Linked DNA regions of Lonchura striata. The protein of the gene in region 1 interacts with the protein of each later gene in a pairwise test. Links are inferred from orthologs where the notes say so. Each region holds a gene or a part of one and is shown in the gene's direction. Other genes may lie near its edges.

Region 1 (10,543 bases):
GCACAAGCACTGTTCAGCAATGACTGAAAGTCCCTCTGTTATCATCACTGTTTTAATCAGAAATCCAAAGCACAGACTACACAAGCTGCTATGAAGAAAACGAACTCTATCCCAGCCAAAACCAGCACATTTTTAGAGGACAAGAGGGAGAGAAAAAGGTCTGCTGCTTGCTTTCTAGCAATCTTCCCGACAGAAAACTCCTAACATTGCTTTAAGGGAGAGAGCCCATAGGCTCCAGCACAGCATTTTTCACTGCCATAGGTTGATTTCTTGTTTTCGAGGACTTGGACAATCCCCTTTCTGCTTTGACTTCAACCTGCCTGCCAAAGCCCACAACAGCATAGGTATAAGCAACATAAGGGACTCTCACTAGAGATGCCTGGTATAGCAAAGGTGTTTTACTACATAAGCATGACTTGAGTGTCTTTCTGGGCCTAAAGCATTTAAATTCACTCAATTCTGTCCTCTGACAGCTGTCCTTCCTATATAGCGTGCAGCAGACGATCTGTCTAAATACTTTCTGGAAACCCCAGTTCCAGATTTCTATAGAGAGCTCTGACTAAAGATCAAAGTCCTTTCCCCACTCTCTCACACCTTCAATATAGGAAGTACTTGAATTCACATTTTCTACTCTGTTGAGTAGACTTCAAGCTCCTAAACTGGATGTAGAAGGTGCTCTTTCTGACTGAGTACCTAACGAGGAACAGGGAGAGCCGAGATATGCAAGAAAAGTGACAGGCTGAATAACTTCAATAACCATAACTAAAATTATATTGGTTGAGGTCTACTAGTTCTTTGTAAAAGGAGGAAAACTGTGTGAGAGGAGGAAATGAGGGTGTGGAGGCAAGTCATGGCAAGTGCAGCAAAGCACAGTAGCTGGAAGGATTAGTGCATCATTTCCTGCTATGTGCTGCACAAAGCAAGATAAACTCAACAGTGCAAGATAAAAAAAAATATTATTATGTGATTGTCCACATCTGAAGCAACATGAGAGATGTCAGGGAGATATTCTGGACTTAGGATAAGCCACTGCTGGATGTGTTAATCAGCTGGGCTGTGGACTGCAGCAGCAGTGTGGGGTGGTGCCCTTCAGTGGGACAGTGAGGTACCTTGTATTAGGGTGGCAACAGCTTCCACTGCCCAGACTGAGCCTGACTCACGCTGCTGGGATGGGACTTGGCCAGGAAACCAAACTCCTCTGCAGCAATGGGCAGCTCCTGGGGCCTGGCAGACAAGAAAAGTGCCCTGACCCAACAGCCTTGTGAGGGCCCACCAGCAGTCCATGAATTTTAGGAGATCCACTACAGTAGGGAACAAAACAACTCATTTTCTTTTGTATAAGAGGGGTATGGATCTTGCCTGGCCTGTGTCAGTGATTCAGGGGTGCTGCTCAGCCACTCTGCAACACGAGCGTCAGCATCCAGCAGCTCCTCCAGCTTGCTCAAAGTCTCTGCTGTTTAGAGGGTCCTAGAAAGGAATGTGATTTCCTGTTCTGTCCTGTGAAGACACTGGCTCCAAATCAGGAAACGTGTTAAAGAAATTCACCATCAGAACTGTCACTATGCAGCTGCTATGACAAGCCTCCAATTTTGCCTTAAAAGGTAAATAAAGTAAATCCTCTGTAAGAACTGCTGGTCTCAGGACCGGAGGTGGAAGTTCTCAAATGAAGCCTGGAATCTGAGTCTGGATTAAATCCAGATGTCAGGATCACACCCACTCCCTCAGAAAATTCAGATCTCAATATAGACAAGGGTAGGGTTTGTGCATGGGGAGGGGGAATTGTTTTTCTGGCTTGCCCTCTCTGACACTGACAGGATGGGAAAAAATTAGGAATATGCACAGCCCTGACTTCAGAAGTGGGCAAAAGGGATTAAATGTTGCTAATTATGGTGCAGTTATAGCCTTTCATTTGAACAGGCTGAATGCAGAAGGGCTCTGACCTTCGCTTTTCTGCTAAATATCTAAATGCTCTCTTCAAAGCATAAAATTAATGAAAATGCTTTGAAAGGAGCTACCTGCAGACAAATGCAAGGGCAGATGGATGCTACAAACCTGTGAACCAAGTTCTGCTTCCAGGAATACTGGGGAAAACATGCTTGAGAGAAGAGGGATGGGAGGGAAGTATTCAAGGTAATTTACAGATGACCATACATGGTAAACCAGCAACATGGAAAGAGACCATGTTCATCAGCAACACTTCATAGACATCTGCAGACATTAAAGGGAATTTTCCCCATTTCAATTTCTCTGTGGGAAGCACTTTCTGTGGCTTCTCATCCACCAAACTGCTGGAATTTAACCTTGTTTTCCCTTAACTTTTATTTAGCTAAGAAAATAACAAATCATCAGAACAGAATGGGCTTTAGGAAACTAAAAGCAGCAGAGGCTCTCAGGATAGCTGAGTCTTCCCTTCTCTTCCTCTGCCACTGCAACACATGGGCCTTTCAGGCAGATTGAGCTTCCTCAACTCAATCCATCTGGTCTCAGGGACCAGCTCTAAAAGCTGCTCCAAAACACAGCAAGGAACTACTCACCTTCTGCCCTACATTTTGTCAGGGCCAGCTGAACAAATCTGTTCTCACATCAGTGCTACCCCCTCTGCTTAAACGCTTTTCCTCCTTTATTACGTTACTCTGCCCTTTCTGTAGTACCAAGCAGCCATTCCTTCTCCCCTGCCTGCTGGACCTGCTGCCTCTCTCCAATCTAAGCCTGCTTCTTCTCTCTCAGGATGGGCTCCCTGTTCTCTTCTGGGCTGCCACTGGCCCTGCTGCACACTGTGCTCCTCCTGCAGCACGGCAAACAGCGTTCTAGGATGGCAGTAATACACTGCCACAATTCACATCCTTAAACACCGTTTAATTAATCCACTGAAGCCCTAAGAAATTTTAATTAACCGTGGCTTTATTAGTATTTACCTCACCTTCAACATGTAAGCTCTGACAGTATTTCCAAAGGGAGGAAGGGCACTGGCAGAGCAGTTGACAAGACACCCTTTTTCTGACTTTTCCCTGCTCTGCTGCTCCCAGAGCTCCAGCCAACTTCGTGCACTGACAAGGACAGCACCCTCCAAGATGAGGGTCAAGTTAACATCGTTCCGCTGCTCTGCGCAATTCCTGTCAAGTACAAGGTTAAATACATTCACCAAAACCAAGTTTAAAAGAAGTGTTGTTGCAGTGTTTGATGAACAGCACAGATTGGAGGGGAGTCTGACAGGAAAGCTGAGAGTTCTGCTCCATTTGGAGATCTCCAGATCGTAGCCAAGGTCACCGTGTCTCAGCTGCCAGCCTTGAATGACGCTTGTGTAAAAAGCAGATGCTCTTCAGGCTTCACATGCACTGCTGAATACAAACCCACCAGTCTCTGAATTCCAGCAACCAAGCAGACTAACACACTTCATCCCCCAGCCCTACAACGTGGCAAGATGCTGCTGTTCAGATTACCAGGATAAAGGAGGATTATCAGATTTCTGAGGGATCTAACCTGCTGTGGCAGGTGTCCAGGCAGACAAGCTCTGCAGCCTCTTGCAGCAGATTTGTGCTCATTTGCACAACACCTTTCTCTGGTGCCTCTTACAACAAAACACACATTCCCTCAGAGCTAAGTATGATGGATGATTATTAAGGGAAAAATAGGAGGAGAAAGAAAAATGCTCTCAATATACTATAAATCAAGCTTATAGGACTTGATTTCTGTTGCTAAAACTGCAATTAACCCCAGGGGCACAGGAGTGATCCCTTAGGCCCAGACACATTAACTGTGCTCTAAGGACACTTGTCAGGTATCCACAAGTTAGAATGCCATGATGTCCCCTCAATCTTTAGAATAACTGATGTGATACAAAACTTCAGGGTAGAGAGTCAAATGCTGCTGTTCCAGGAAAAGAGGACAGCAGTAATCTGAAACAAAGATCAGGTGTCTTTAAACTTACTATTTTGCTAGATGCTTGAGGTATGTAACACTAGCCAAAACACGGTGGTGGGAGGGAAAAAACCCAAAAATAAATTATTAATACGCAACTGAAATAATAATTCAAAACACTACCCTGGAACTACCAAATGATCAGGACTCCTGCTACCATAACTTCTACAGAGGCTGAGGTCAAATACCACTGCCCTGCTTTAATAATTTATCTACAGAACAAATTAAAACTAGCACATATCTGGTTTAATGATGCCAATTATGCATCACACTGGCAAATACTGAGTTAAGATCTGAGCATTGAGGCTTCTCCTGTAACATTGTCTTAAATTTCTAATAAGCAAGAAGCAAATTCTGCTTAAAACACACCTACTAAAGCCCCACTAAAACCCAAATCTCACACCCTACCTTGTAGAACTCCAGCTAACTTTTTCAGGGCTTTGTAAGTAGTACATGAAGGGCAGAATTCTGTCCCATTTCCTGCCTCAGAGCTTAGTAACACAGTAGAGCTGACATAAAATCTGACATTTGACTATGAGGTTTCCCTCCTGACCAATTTACTCAGATCCCAAAGTTTACAAACTGCATGCGGCATCCTCAAAGTGAGTCAGTGGAGAATAAAAGAGGGTCAGGCAAATACCTTGCTGGTTGTCTCCCAGATTAAAGATTAATCTGCAATACCTAAATGCTAACCAACACTTTTAGCAGTGTTTTCTTATAGCCAAATTTGTGTTCAGCAGCCACAGTCCTACACAGGCTTTTATTGCTCTAGTCATGCTACATGAGCACCTTCTAGTAACTACACAATGTGACTTCATGCAGGGCAAGAGCCAAGAGTGACCTTTAAGAAAGTTCTCCTCCCAACTCCACACCTGTTACAAAACCCACTCCTGCCCCAAAGTGCCCAAGACAGCTCTTGGCTCTCTACCCAAATCCTGTCTTCCGTGAAATTGTTTCACAAGATGAGGGAAAAAATGCGTTGTCGTTTTTCCTTCTCCATTCTTTCCACACTTGAGCAGTCAGTGCTTACAGGAAGTAGCACTGCCGTGGTTTGAATGGCCATACGCATGAGAACTCCCCTTAGCATTAAGCTTCCCACCAAATACTCTTGTAAGCAAACAAGCTTTAATGTCCATTGCAAACCAGAGAACGAAGGCTTCTATTTTATTTGTTGCTGTTGTTCTTTCTTTTAAAACCCGGCAAAAATGCAATGGTGAAAGTCTGAGCATCATCTACAGAGGAGCTGAAGATTAGTACCAGCTGTAGGAAAAGTGAGAGGAGCTCAGGATCCCACCACCACCACCTGAGCCCCAGGGCAGGGGCTCTGCAGGCAGTCAGGAGCGCATTTAGGAATAAAACACCGAGCAACACTGGATTTCCCCCAGCTGACTCAGAGCTCGCCTTTCCCCGGCGCGCTGGGCTGACCCCGAGTCTCCTGTCCTGCGGGCAAGGGAGCCCAAACCTCCCGGGAGACAAGCACGGCAGAGCCCGGGGCTGCGGGGCACCCCGAGCAGCGGCCCATGCCCACAGCCCCCGGCAGGGCGGGCTGCCCCCTCCCCTCACAGCCCCCGGCAGGGCGGGCTGCCCCCTCCCCTCACGGCCCCAGGCAGGGCCGGCTGCCCCCTCCCCTCACGGCCCCCGGCAGGGCGGGCTGCCCCATCCCCTCACGGCCCCCGGCAGGGCGGGCTGCCCCCTCCCCTCACGGCCCCCGGCAGGGCGGGCTGCCCCATCCCCTCACGGCCCCCGGCAGGGCGGGCTGCCCCATCCCCTCACGGCCCCCGGCAGGGCCGGCTGCCCCCTCCCCTCACAGCCCCCGGCAGGACCGGCTGCCCCATCCCCTCACGGCCCCCGGCAGGGCGGGCTGCCCCCTCCCCTCACAGCCCCCGGCAGGACCCAAGCGCCGCCGTGCCCTCACCGCGGCAGCGCTCAGCGTCCCGCACACCTCACAGCGCCCCAGCTCCCCCACGGCTCCACACCGCCCCAGCCCTCACGGGCGCCAGGGGCCGCGATGCCTCCAGCCCCTCACGCCCCCGCGGTCTCTCCCTGTCCTCGGGCCGCTCCCGCCGTCCCACGACCCGGCGAGGTCCCTCACACCGCCCCAGAGCCGCCGGGCGCCGCCCCGCTCCTCCCCGCGCCTGCGCCGCGCCCCCGGCTCTATAAAGGCGGCGGTGCGGGAGCGCCGCGCGGTGCCGCCTCCCGTCGCCGGTGCTGCTCTGCCGTCACCTCCGGTGTCCCGTCCGACTGCGAGGATGGAGGCGGTGGTGCGGCGCTGCCCGTTCCTGGCCCGTGTGTCCCAGGCGTTCCTGCAGAAGGCTGGGCCGTCGCTGCTGCTGTACGCCCAGCACTGCCCGCGCATGATGGAGGCGGCCCCGCCGGCCGCCCGCGCCCTCGCCACGTCCGCCGCCCGCGGGCAGCAGGCGGAGGAGGAGAGCCCCGCGGGCCGCGGTGAGTACGGCCGGGGAGCGAGCCGAGGGGGGAAAATGACACAGACATTGCATGTCTCGGGGGGGAAAAATGACACAGACATTGCATGTCTCGGGGGGGAAAAATAACACAGACATTGCATGTCTCGGGGGGGAAAAATAACACAGACATTGCATGTCTCGGGGGGGGAAAAATGACACAGACATTGCATGTCTCGGGGGGAAGCTTCTGGAATAGGCAGCGCTGAGGCTGAGGGGTTGCTTAATCCTTGAAATGTCCGCGGTAAAGGAAATGTGTGGCCGTGGCACGAGTCAGGGACCGCCTGATCCCGAGGGGCGTCCCGAGGCGAGCCCCGGGTGGGGATCCGGGATCCTGGGTCTCCGAGCGGTGTTTCTCACGGTACACTGGCCCTTCTCGCCACCCGGGAACATTCCTTGGGGAATTCTTCCCCGGGCACTCAGAGGAAGGATTTGAGGCTCAGAGCAGAAGCTGCATGGCTGAAAAATCTCTGAAGTGCCTGAAAGAAGGTCACAGAATCACAGTTAGGTTAGAAAAGACCTCTGAGGTCTAGTCCAGCCTATGACTGAACACTACTATGTCAACTAAACATAGCACTTACTGCCATATCCAGTCTTTCCTTAAATATTCCCATTGGGAGTGAGGTATTTCTGCCCCTCAAAGAGTACAGTGCTAGATCTAGCATCTTAAATCAGATGTCCCTTGGGTGTTAACTGGGATTTTGCACTTGTGTAAATAAAATACGACTGCTCAGTTAAATAGTTCTGAATAGGTCCTGGCAAATTAATTGCAAAAGTAATGGATCAAAAAACTAAAGTCAGGGTATTAAAATGATGAAGCTGAATTGTTTTACCTTCTCTGCCCCCATCTCAGAGGCCAAAAATGTCAAAGAAGTGGCCCAGCAGAATGCAGATGGAACCCAGCTTCCTGCTGGCCACCCACCTGCCAGTGCTAGCCAGAGTACGGCTACCAAGTGCCCGTTCCTGGCAGCTCAGATGAATCACAAGAAGAGCAACGTTTTCTGCAAAGCCAGCCTGGAACTGCAGGAGGATGTGCAGGAAGTGCAGGCTGACAGGAAAGGTATGTTCTCTGTGCACTGAAGCAGTGATTCTTCCCGAGAGCCTCTGGTGCCTGACTTGCATCTGGAGCGTGCCAGGTCTGCCGGCACCGCTGAAATGATGCAGCTGGGATTATGGGAGACGGCAGGGAAGAGCTGCTGGAGAATGTAGGTGTTAATGACATACCTGTGACGTTGTGTGGGGCTTCCCTGGGTGATTTTGATGTGGGAATACCATGAGCTGTATTTTGATGTGCTGGCTGGCTCTAGATGTGTGAGTCAAGCTGTTACACTTGCACCCAAGCAGATGCTTAGATCTGAAGAGAGCTTTGCCAGAGTGCTGGTTTAGATAAAGGTTTTATATCCAAAGATGGTTCACAGTGTCGAGACACCAGGCAAGTACCAGCACAAATCCAAGCTTGAAAAGCAGGCAAGTGGTTTTGGGGTGGTGTTTTGGTGCTTATGGAATTAAAGAATGTTGGCTGGCTTGCAGTGGTAGTGTGGAAGGGCTGTCCTTCAAAGGAAGGAACTTCTCAGCAGTTTCAGTAAAGCCCTGCTGCCTGTCTCAGAAGGCTTGTTTTACTTTTGTTTGCCTCTTGTGGCATAGTTTAAAAATCTGTGCTAATAGACAAAAAGGAAGCGGCTGACTAGAACTCTGCCTTCCATTAGGTGTGTATGGAATCCTTTCAGATGAGTGCTGTAGCTGTATAGTGTGGTTCTTTGAGTCATGATGAACCATATACTTTATAAGGAATTTGCCTGTTGTATTGTGATTGATTAGCAAGGCTAATCCTTCTGTCTTGTCAAAGGCAAATTTGTAAGCAAATAAAATAGTTCATCCTAGCAGGATCAACGTGGGATTTTGGACATGTCCTTCCTAAAGATTGAAATGTTGGTTTTACTTTAAATGTTTGCTTTGCTGAATTCAACTTACTTCACTCTGTTTCAAACCAAACAAATTCACTGGAATTTATTCCAATATCTGTAGGTACGGAATTTACCAAAATCCCGAGTACTTCAACAGTGAGAAAGATTGAGAGTGAGGGAGCAGAGCAGAGTGGCTTGCTCAAGAAGTTTAAGGATATTGTGCTGAAGCAAAAACCGGAAAGTGTCTCTCATCTGCTTCAGGATAATTTGCCAAAATGTAAGAATGTCTGGCAAACCCCCCAGAGGCCTGGGCTGTTGTGATAATTTCCTGTGTGCTGAAGTCTGTCTCCTTTCAGCTGTATCCACCTTCCAGTACGATCAGTTCTTTGAGAAGAAGATAGATGAGAAGAAGAAGGATCACACCTACCGAGTGTTCAAGACTGTGAACAGGAAGGCGCAGATCTTCCCCATGGCAGACGACTACACTGATTCCCTGATCACCAAGAAGGAGGTGTCTGTCTGGTGCAGCAATGACTACCTGGGCATGAGCCGCCACCCTCGGGTCTGTGGAGCAGTTATGTGAGTGGTGCTGTGTTCTTAAGAGGTGTTTTCAAGCTGTATCTTGTGGGAAGGCTTCTGAAAAGCTGATTTCTATACTGTGGGACATAAGATGCTTCTGATGCGATTCTTGCTGTGCAGTTAAGATTACACTTGTTTATTGGGTGGTCACTTAATGTTTAGATCCAGGCCTGCACTGTGTATATTGGTCACTGATGGTGCTCCTTGGATCTTCCTTAAAAGCCCCAGATGTTGCCAGATAAACTGGATGGTATACCAGCTGTGCTTGGTCACTGACATCTGACCTTAATGGACTCCTGAGTGTGCAGGTTGCTCTGAGACTCAACAGCTGCTTTTTGCTGCCAGTTCTTCTTTAGAACAGTCTTGATTATGTACCAGAATGTTTTGAGCAGTGACCCTTTACTCTTCTGTGTGTCCCACAGCAATGCTAATGCCTCTCTTTGGCCCTCTTTAGGGAAACACTGAAACAACATGGTGCTGGAGCAGGAGGCACCAGAAACATATCAGGAACAAGTAAATTTCATGTTGACTTGGAAAAAGAACTAGCTGATCTTCATGGAAAAGATGCAGCACTGTTGTTCTCATCTTGCTTTGTAGCCAATGACTCCACTCTCTTCACTCTAGCTAAAATGCTGCCAGGTAAGATCTCAAATTGTACCTGTGTTGCCACAAAAACACAGCCTTGCCTCAAGCTGTTGGGAGTATGTTTTGCAAATGGCTGTCCAAAGTGAGGATTTGCCCTAACCCATGGGCAGAGTATGGTTTCCTGGTTTTAATACCAAATTCAAGTTACATTCAGTACAAATGACAATATCAACCTACTGAGATTGAGATCTATGAGGTGTGAACTCCTTGAGGAATTACACCAGCTGAGTCTTCTGTTCTTGTGTTTAAACTCTACCTGAAAATAAGACAGCAGGAATTTAGTGTCCTTCCACTGGAAGGGGTGAACTTCTCTCTCACTTCAGAAGTTAGGAGAGTTTGATAACTATTTTCTCAAGCTCTCATTTATGTTAGTTTGAATACCTAAAATAAATCTCAAATATTATTCTTGCTTCCATGATCTGTAACTTGCTCTTTTGATCAAGAGCATTACTTTCAAGAACAAACTACCCTTGTTTCCTGAGCTCTTGCCATACGTAATGCAATGCTAGGAATCAGTTAATGTGTTCCATACTTAAAATGTAACTGGGCTTGTAACCTATTTTCCTCAGGTTGTGAGATCTACTCTGATTCTGGAAACCATGCCTCCATGATCCAGGGGATCTGTAACAGCAGGGTGCCAAAACATATATTTCGCCATAATGATGTCAACCATCTCCGAGAGCTATTGAAAAAGTCTGATCCATCCACCCCTAAAATTGTTGCATTTGAAACTGTTCATTCAATGGATGGTAAGTTGCCATCAAAGCCTCCTCTCTGCTTCTAGGGCAATTAGTCCTCAAATCATCTGTGTTTTAGGTCTCAAAGTATACAGTGCTGTAGGGGTTGTCTTGGGGTACCTCTGGGGTTTATCCAGTCATACAGAAAATCCTAAACTGCCAGTCACTGCTTTGGTTCCTAGGTGCTGTTTGTCCTCTGGAAGAGCTGTGTGATGTGGCCCACGAGCATGGGGCCATCACCTTTGTGGATGAAGTGCACGCTGTGGGGCTGTACGGAGCCCGAGGAGGTGGGATAGGA
Region 2 (9,588 bases), on another chromosome or scaffold:
CCTGCAGGGCCATGGCCGCCGCCGGAAGGGGCGGCGCTGCCCTCAGCCCTCACGGCGCTGCGGCGCCGCTCCTCGCAGGGCCCCGCGCCGCGCCCGGGGCTGCCCGCAGCGCTGCCGGTGCTCCGGGAGCGCCGGGACGGGACCGGGACAGGGACAGGACCGGGACTGCACGGGGACAGGGACAGGGACAAGGATAGGGACAGCACAGGGACAGGGACAGCACGGGGACAGGGACAGGGACAGCACGGGGACAGGGACAGCACGGGGACAGGGACAGCACGGGGACAGGGACAGGGACAGCACGGGGACAGGGACAGGGACGAAGATAGGGACAGGGACAGGGACAGCACGGGGACAGGGACAGCACAGGGACAGGGACAGCACGGGGACAGGGACATTACGGAGACAAGGACAGCACGGGGACAGGGCCAGCACAGGGGCAGCACGGGATGGGGCGGCTTTCCCAGGATGGGGTCGGGAGAGCCATGAAGAGGGGCTGGATTTCCCTGAGGCCGCGGAGCCGCTCCTGGTGTGGGGAAGTTGGGCAGATTTGGCCTCCTGCCCGGCTGGCTTCCTGATGTGAGGGTTTCAGCGCTGCCTTTGCTTTGTCCAGTGTCAAACTTACTTTAAGTCTTCTCCGTCCCCGTTTCTGTTGCCTGTTCTTCCTCACGTTTCTTTCCTGCCTTGCAGTTCCTCGGTCAGAAACTGACCAGTGAAACAGGAGTTGGGGACGGAGTAAATAATGGGTGGGGGATGAAGAGCTGCTCTTGGTACCTGGGAAGTTTGTTAGTGGAATTGGCTAATCATGTAATGTGTGGAATGTTTTTAGTGGCTCATGGAAAAAAAAAAAAAAAGAGAGGTCTTACTTTATGTGGAGGCGTTGGGTATTTTATTTCCTTTTATTTCCTCAGTAGAAGCTATTCAACAATATTCTGTTATTTCACCCCCACATATCTTGCTGTGGAGCCTGGTCAAATACGTGTCCCTGGCAGAGCACTCCTGTGGAATATCCTCTGAGCAGCCCCTCTGGGGTCTGTACAAGTATTTCAGTAGTGGAGAAACTTTTCTAATCCCTCTGTGTTGAGAGTAAATTGTGCTCTGGATCACTGTTCAGTGCGAACAGCAACAGTTCAGTGCTCAGCCCTATGTTTTAAAAAATGCTGCAAGGAAATGCACTCATGTGCTGATTTGTTTTTGCTCATATGTGTCTGTAAAAAAGGGAGTGTGTGCTCATGCATGATGTATCTTTCTGGATGTTGATTAATCTTAAATGAACTTACCTATGATGTAAATTTGTCTAATATTTTGCAACTTAATTTTGCTTTCCTACAAAACATCAGTGTAACCTGTTAAAGTAGTGAGAAAATGCAAGTGAAACATTGTATCCATGTAATATACTTTCATTTTTCTAAATGGTAACTTACTTGCCCATTTCAGATAATGATTTTGTAGCCCAATGTTCTGTGATAAAGCTGATAAACTCTCAGGTATCTAATGCCACATGAAAATAGTTTCACATCAAATCCTGATTCAATGATTTAAATGCTGGTTAATTGTGTCACTATGATTCCCAAAGCAAACTGTGGGAACTATTTTGTACACTCCCAGTTGAAGCGGCATGTTAAGAGTAAACCCACTATATTTTTGCATTAAATTTGGCAGAAAATCACCCCCCTGGCATCCCAGCTGTTCCTCAGATATCAGAGGGACTGGGACAGCTGGGTTTAGCTTCTGAGCCGTGGGCAGTTCCGCAGCAGACATGCAGAGGTGGTGTGGCACTGGAAAGAGCTGACCTTTGGAGTTCCTCCCAGCCCAGCCCAGCCCGTGGTGAGTCCCCTGTGTGCAGAGGTGTGTGTGAGCCCACGAATGTGAACCATACAGCCAGCCACAAGCACAGTCAGATGGGAGATGCCAGTGTAGCACTAAGAGTATGATCACAAGCACAGGCTGGCTTTCTGAATTTCCCGAGGTGCTTACCTGGTATAGCCGAGTGCTGGAGTCTGACCCAGTAGGTGTCCCTGTGGGGAGGAGCTAGCTAGAGCCCTCTGACAGTGCCAGGATACAGAGATGGAGTCTCCTCCGACCTCCCTTACCTCTAAAGCTGTATTTATATTGTTTTCAGTGAGTGGCAGGAGAAGGTGAAGTTATGTCTGACATAATTTGCCATTGAAGTGGAGCTTGATTTTAGTAATGAGCATATATGGGGGGTATTGACACAAAGCTGGGGCACGGCTTGGGTCATTCCTTTGGCTTAGTTCCTGTTACCTGCATTGTTCCTGCCAGAGCATGACCACGGCACCCCTGTGCCACTCCATCCTTTGTTTCCTATCTGCATTGATTTCAGCAGGGCGAGACCAACTCTCTCCCTGCTGCTCCCTGCTTTGTTCCCTGCTCCCAGAGCAGCACGCCGGGCTCCTGCAGGGATGCTGCTCCTAAGGGTGCAGGCAGCTTGTCCCTCCTGAGCTACTGCCAGCACACAGACTCCTTCTTGCTCAGCTTTCTTTTTCAGTGTTCTCCCAGTGAAGGCAGCCTTAAATGAAAAAGGAAACCAGAACCACAACGTTTTCTGGAAACCTGAAAGTAAATCTCTTTGTAGCTGTGTGTGCAGCTGACTGTTCACTGCACCATTCCCTGCTCCCTGAGCAGCAGATTGGGCAGAACTGAAATGAGGGGCTTTTTGGGTCATTGTAACCCATGAAAAGAAGTATTGCTTGTAGTGCAGCAGATGTATAGGATGTGTTTCTGAGGAGGTAGCACTGGTTTAAGGGACACACTGGGCCTTTTGGATGAGGCATGGAAATGGGACTTGGCCTGCGGGAAGCATTTCAAGCCCTGTTCCAATTTTCATGAGCTGTAGTTCCAGTAATAATTCCAAATCCAGTTCAGGAAATGATATTGTTTATTCATCATGCCTTTGTCTTCTAAACACACAAATACTACTCTATACCCATTGACAAATAAACATTGGCAGTGATTGGTATAATTCACCATGTTACTGGGTGTTGTAGTACATATTTGTGTGCTAGACTATTTCAATACCACATCTGAAATGTTTTAAATACACTTGTGGTGCTCTGCATGTTGTTGTTCTGACACAGATGGGGATATCACTAATGTACTGAAACAGGGAATTCTATAGGCTGTTGGCTTTTGGTCTGTTTTCTCAGTCTCAGCACATGTTACTTACAAGAATGAAAATTAACCAATTCTGCCTTTTGCAAATCTAAGACGGTATCATGCTTTCTGCCAGTGTTGAAGAGTGTTAAAAAAATTCTGAGCATCAAAGGTTAGAATAAGTCATGATGAGAGTTTGTTTGGGGGTCTCAGATCCTGCAATCAGTATTCCCTAGGGGGTACCAGTTTGGTTCTTCTGGGAATGCTATGCTCCCAGTTTTTGTGTGTTTGAGCAGAAGAAATTAACTTGGAACATGGAGAGAGCATGGAGAGAGCACATACCAGCTGCAGCTGTGCAGTTGCTCAGGTGAGCAAACAGAGATCCCAGATTCTGCAGGGTAATGTGGGATGTGCTCCATGGCATTACTGTTTGTCCTTCACATTTACAGGCAACATTTTCCTAATGACCTTTTGTTTGCTATGGCCTTTTGACGGCTTATATCTATCAGAATTAAAGGACTTTTTTGTGATTGATAAAGCAGAGACTTCTCAGTCTTTTTTTTTTTTTTTTTACCCAGCTTTATATCCAGGAGATTTTCTCTCCAGCCTGCAGAGCGAGATGCATGCACAGTGTCTGAGAGAATCAGCCACAGAATATCCTGGGTTGGAAGGAACCCACAAGGATCATTGAGCTGAACTCCTGTCCCTGCACAGGACACTCTAATAATTCCAGCATGTGTCTAAAAACATTGCCTAAAAGCTTCTGGAACTCCGGCAGGCCTGGGACCATTACCTGCCCTGGGGAGCCTAACCCATCATCCCTCATCTGGGTGAGGAGCCTTTTCCTGATGTCCAGCATAAACTTCATTGATACTGCTTCCTGCTGTTCCCTCTGCTCCTTTTACACTGTTTTCTTGGGGTATTCCTGTGACCCTGCTGTCCCAGCCCTTACCAACCACAGGCTGCTGGGCACATGGCTGGGAGTGATGACATAAAACCCCCTTAACACCCCCAAACCCCTCCCAGGGCCCTTTAAAACCTCTTTAGTGTCACTAAAACCCCTCCAAGTACACCATACCTCATCCCAGCTCCCCCAACACCCCTCAAACCTCCTCAGCACCTCCAAACTCATTTTATCTCTCTCAGACCCCTCCCAGCACACCCTAAAGCCCCATTAGCACCTCAAATCCCTTTGAGCACCCTCTCAAGTCTCTTTAGCCCCGCTAAAACTCCTCCCGGTGTACCACATGCTATCCTAGCATCCCCAAACGCCCCTCAAACCTCAACATCCCCAAAGCTCCTTTTAGTTGTGCTTTAGCATCCACGAATCCCTCCCAGCATTCCTAAAACCCCGTTAGCACCACCAACCCCCTTCCAGCACCCTCTAAAACCCCTTCAGCACCACCAAAACCCTTCGTTACCCCCGCCCAAAACCATCCCAGCGCGCCCGGGGAGCGCGGCGCAGCCGGGAGCACCAAAGCTCCAGAGAAGAGAAGCAGCGCCGATAGACTTCGGCAGTGACTGTGTGTGAAGCTCTATTTTCACATAAGACACAAGAAAGCCCCGTGTGCCCAGGACGGACAAAGCCGCCCCCACACGCCCCGCCCCGCCCCGCCCGGGCCGCCGTGAGGGCGGGGGGCGTGGCCTCCACCGTGAGGGCAGAGGGGCGTGGCCTCCACCGTGAGGGCAGAGGGGCGTGGCCTCCGCCGTGAGGGGGCGTGGCCTCCGCCGTGAGGGCAGAGGGGCGTGGCCTCATCCGGCCCCGCCCCTCCCTGCGGGGCGGGCCCGCGCCGCTGCCATGGCAACGAGTCCGGCGTCGCCTCAAGTAGGCGGCGCGGCGGCGCCGGCTCAGGCATTCGCGGCGGGCAGCCCGGGGCGCGCCGGCGGGGTCCTGCGGCGGGCGGCGGCGGCCGGAGCGGCGGCGGCCGGGCGAAGATGGCGGACGTGCTGAGCGTGCTGCGGCAGTACAACACGCAGAAGAAGGAGATCGTGGTCAAGGGCGACGAGGTGATCTTCGGAGAGTTCTCCTGGCCCAAGAACGTCAAGACCAACTATGTCATCTGGGGGTGAGCGACACGGCCGGGGCGAGGGGCGGCTGGGGGGAGAAGTTGCCCCAAAGTTGCGGCGGGGACGGGAGCGCTGCCGTCCTTGGCGGCCCCGGCGCTCCGCGGGTGGCGAGCGGGACGGGGCCGGGCGGGCCGGTGCCGCCCCCCGCAGGGCCCCGGTGCCCCGGCGCCCTGCCCGGCTGTCCCGCGGGCGATCCCCGTCCCGGCAGCCCGGCCGGGCAGGGCGCGCCCGCCGCTCCCCTCGGGAACGTTCCCGGGTGCAGCCCGCGGCCGGCGGAGCCGCGGCCGGGTCGTGCCTCGGCTCCCGGCGCTCCTGCCCGTGCCGCCCGCGGGGCCGCGTCCTGCAGACTCATGCGATGAGATGGCAGCAGGCAGCTTCTCCCAAGTTCTCCCGGGTGTTCGGTGGGAAAGACGCGTTGTGTTGCTCGGACAGCGCTCTCAGGCGCACGGTGGGATTCCTGGGGTATTTCGCGCGGGGCCAGGAGTTGCAATCGGTGATCCTGATGATCCCTTCCCACTCAGCATAGTCTGTGATTCTGCTCTCTTGCGTTGTCGGGGCTGCTTCTCGTCTCCTGGAGCTTTGGTGCGCCAGGGCGAAGCCAGCGAGGCCCGGCCCGACGCTGCCTCTGATGAGCTGTGCAGCTGCTCTGCCCCCACCCGAGACCTCCTCCTGGGCAGCACCTGGTGCAGGCTGTTTCCTACTTGGTCTTATCGTAATAAACAAGTAGAGAGAGTGTTTATGTGGCTTAAATAATTGTAGTAGATAACATGCCTGGTTTTAGCCTCTAGTATATGGGGGAGGGGGGTTTACCTGTTGAATTTCCTGGTAGAGCATGGATTGCTTATATTGCAAAGGAGTTTATTGTTAGCCTTTCCTCAGAGTTTAGCTGCTGCTTGCTTCTTAGTGTTCTCACTAGAAGGGTTCCGATTTGTCTTTTTCAAACTTAAGAGGGAAAAATGCTTCTTCTTAAAGCTCAGGTACTGATCAAAGAGGACATGTTATCCTGTGAACCTTTGTGGAAAAGCAGAAGTACCTGCAGGTTTTTCACAAAACCCTGAACTTGTAGTTAAGTCTGACCAGGAATTATTATTTTTTTTTTAAACATTATTATGATATGACTATTATTAGCCTTAGATTGAGAGAGAGAAAGGAAATAAGCCTACTTGCTTATCTTCAGTTGTAGGTGGACTTTTCATACAGAATTTTACTTTGTACCTTATATATTACTAGAAATCTGTTTTTTCATTACCTGTTCTAAGCTTTCAGAAACTAATTTTGGAGTTATTTGTGCTTCCTGTCTGAGTGGGGGATACTGGTATGTGGACTGAAGAGGAAGACAAATATTTGGACAAGCAGAAGTCTTGGCTGTATTTTTGCTGGGCAATGTGTAGACAGATGTGGTGGTTTCCTTGCTACAAGTTGCTTTTCCCAAGTGGTAACAAGTAGTGGTTAAGTAGACAAACAAGTTTCATTGCCCTTCTGCAGGGAACAAGAAACTGATATGCCAGCCCTATCCTATTGCTCAGGAGAGCTTGGATTAGACTCAGAAATTGTTACCAAAAGCCTGAAAGTAGCTGGAGAGCAAACTCTGCTGTGTACAGCCAGGCAGCTTCATCTTCCTGGTCAAGAAGGATGTGTGGGTGAACAGAGGATTCTCTGAGCACAGCAGCTGCAGCTCCTGGCAGAGCTGTGAGTGCTCACCTCCTGGGGTACGTGTGTGGTGCAGTTTGAGGTTTTTTTTTCTTTGGGTTGTTTGAAGTGAATTAGTTCATCTTGGTTTAGACAAGTGGCTTTTGAATTTTTGATAGGATCAGGCTGATCTCAGTTCACAGCATTTCTTGTCAACCACTGTGGCATTTTGCATGTCTCAGCTTTAAATTGAAGACACTGTAAAAATGAGACCAGTTCTGCAAGCCATGCTCAGTAGCTTGAACACCACACTTCAAGAGCTGCTAATTTAGGTAATTGCTACACTCGGGAGGGACATTTTCAAAAACTGTCAAGATTCAAACCCTTTTGTATTCAGGTCACTTGACAGGATCCAAATTATGCTTGCACTGAGCAGGTGTTGGTGGCTTAATCTTTCACAGAACAAACCTTGAGTTCTGTTTTAGGTGTCCCCAGCACGGTTGCTGTAATTGCATCTCCAGCCTGCAGAGAGTAATGCTAGGCTGAAGAGCAGCAGTGGCATTTGTCCCTGCTAGAATTAGAAGTAGTCCCAGGAGACATTTAGCTGTGGCTCCCCGAGCAGCTTAGCTGGCAGAAGTCAGCAGTGCTGCCCTGCATTGCCTTCTCTCTCTGCTAGCACAAGTGTCACCCAAACAGGGAATTGGGCTGAGGAATCAAGCTGAGTAAAAGTCAACCTGGAGGAAAAAAGGAAAAGTGTGGGGGAAAAGCAACTTTAATCCAGTTTAGTTTCCAGATAGTAATTATAGCGATGCTCCTGCTGGCGCATGAAAAAGGCTAGGTGGTTTGAAATGAAGTGGTTTGTGTGTTTTGACCTATGGATCTTAAAGAATAATTAATGAATCTGTTTCAAAACCAAAGGAAGGAATCAATCTACCAGAGAAATTTATTACTTAGTTTGCCTAGTCAAGGGGCTTGGATATGCAGCTGAGTTTTCAAACAGTGAGCAGCTGGTTCTGGGTATTGTCAGCTGTGTGATACTCAGCATGCTTTGTCTTGTGTATTTAAAGTTTTCTGCTTGGATTTGTGGATGAGACACAGGCCCTTAGTACCTCTGTAAAACTACAGGCTTTGAAACAGGAAAGAGGAAATAAAGCTGTTAAAAATTAATAAATTCCTGGTGCCCATAGGTGTAAGGTGAATGGATGAGAAATAATTAAGTTTCTGGTGTTAAAAATGAGCAGGTGAAACTTGCTGTCTCCTATTATATAAACATTTTCTCAATTTTTAAGCTGGATTTTATTTGTAAGAGATGGAACTCTTCCTTATATTTTTGCTTTAATGATTGTCACTGGGTTTGTTGAGGTTCTGCCTCCTATGATTTAATTTTTTTAAGTAAATGATGCTATAGCTGAATATGGGAAATAACAGAATCCATTTATATTTCTACTTTAGATGCTTGTAAATTGAATGAGGCAAGCTACCCTCAGATCTGCCTGTTTTTAGTTCTTTGTGTATTTAGCAGGAGCACGCACTGATGTTGAAATGTCAGTTTAGGCTTAGGTTTTCTCCTTGTGTGCAGCTGTTTGTCCATCTGATGATTTCCTATTAATGTGCAGTATCTTGTCCTCCTAATAAAACATCCTCTTAGAGCCTTAATGAGCATGGGGAATTCTTGTGTGTGTGGTTGAAGTGATGAAGTACCAGCTGTGCCCTGCTGAGCTTTGGCAATGCCTGTGGCTTTAACACTGTATTGTTTCAATTAATAGATAACGGTTCAGTATTTGTTTGTTTTTATATCTTGGATTTCTTGCTAAATATTGTAAAGTTTGAGTAGATGACCAACTGGACTTTTCTATTGTGCTCAGTGCATATGACACACTTCAAAGAAATAATGAGTGATTCTGAACTAAGACAATCTAAAGTGTTTGTTTTAAAATGAAGTGACAGCTGTATCACGTGACATGATGGCTTTGCTTCGGAGCCAAGCCTGTGTGGAGGAAGCTTTTGTTTCTGCTAGTGCTTCCAGTGTGTTTAGATACCACCTTATCAAAGATCCTCACTGCTTTGCTGCTTGTTCAAACAGTTCCTTGCTGAGGAATCCAGTTCTGGTGGCTGCCTGTAGTTGTGAAGTTTTGGCTTCTTAGCAGTTGAAAGGAAGAGCCTGTGTGTCAACTCCCTTTCCTCTGCAGCAACAAAAAGTACAGGCACCCTCCACCTCATGCAGACTAAGTTTTTGGAAGGAAGGGACAGTGGTAAGAGACCCTTTATTCCCTTTATTCTACACTTTTGGTATGCTGAATCCCTTTTCTCTGCATGCTATTCTTATGTTGGTTTTCTCAGGCATCATTGTGAAGGTGAGGTTTTGAACTTTACTGCTGATAATAAGTTCTGAACAGGTTTTTGGGCAATCTTAGCTAATTTCAGAAAAGTAATGACAAGCAAAGCAGTAGATGGCATTAAATCCACAGTACTGAGAAAACAGACTTAAAAACTTCTGTTGGTTTAGTAGATTTTTGTGTGGCTCTTTCAGGCTCCATACAGTTGTGACTGAGTGTTTTTTATTTCCGCTCCCTTTTTGCAGTGGGAGTGGCGCTTCTGTCGTGTGTGTTTTGGTGCTGATGATGAGCCATGAGTAAAGCCACTGTACTTAGAGGGAAAACTCTTTTAATGAAAGGGTTTCTTCCTGAAACCTCTTGTTTGTTGAAAGTTCTCTACCAGTCTTAAATTTATAGCTTTGGGCTGATTTTGTGGTGGCTTCTCTTCCTCAGGCTTTAAGGT

The links.
Region 2: the proteins of ALAS1 (region 1) and CDC73 interact in a two-hybrid assay, tested with the Homo sapiens proteins (3 studies listed by BioGRID and IntAct). The two-hybrid records come from large-scale screens. The link is inferred for Lonchura striata from reciprocal best matches to the Homo sapiens genes ALAS1 and CDC73.

The regions. Positions count from the first base shown.
Region 1 is NC_134614.1:9,951,801-9,962,343, forward strand, and holds the start of ALAS1 (5-aminolevulinate synthase, non-specific, mitochondrial), read left to right. Parts: upstream 1-6,087; 5' UTR 6,088-6,167; coding exon 6,168-6,363; intron 6,364-7,233; coding exon 7,234-7,440; intron 7,441-8,405; coding exon 8,406-8,561; intron 8,562-8,640; coding exon 8,641-8,863; intron 8,864-9,317; coding exon 9,318-9,502; intron 9,503-10,077; coding exon 10,078-10,257; intron 10,258-10,427; coding exon 10,428-10,543.
Region 2 is NC_134611.1:27,286,297-27,295,884, reverse strand, and holds the start of CDC73 (parafibromin), read left to right. Parts: upstream 1-5,001; 5' UTR 5,002-5,049; coding exon 5,050-5,180; intron 5,181-9,588.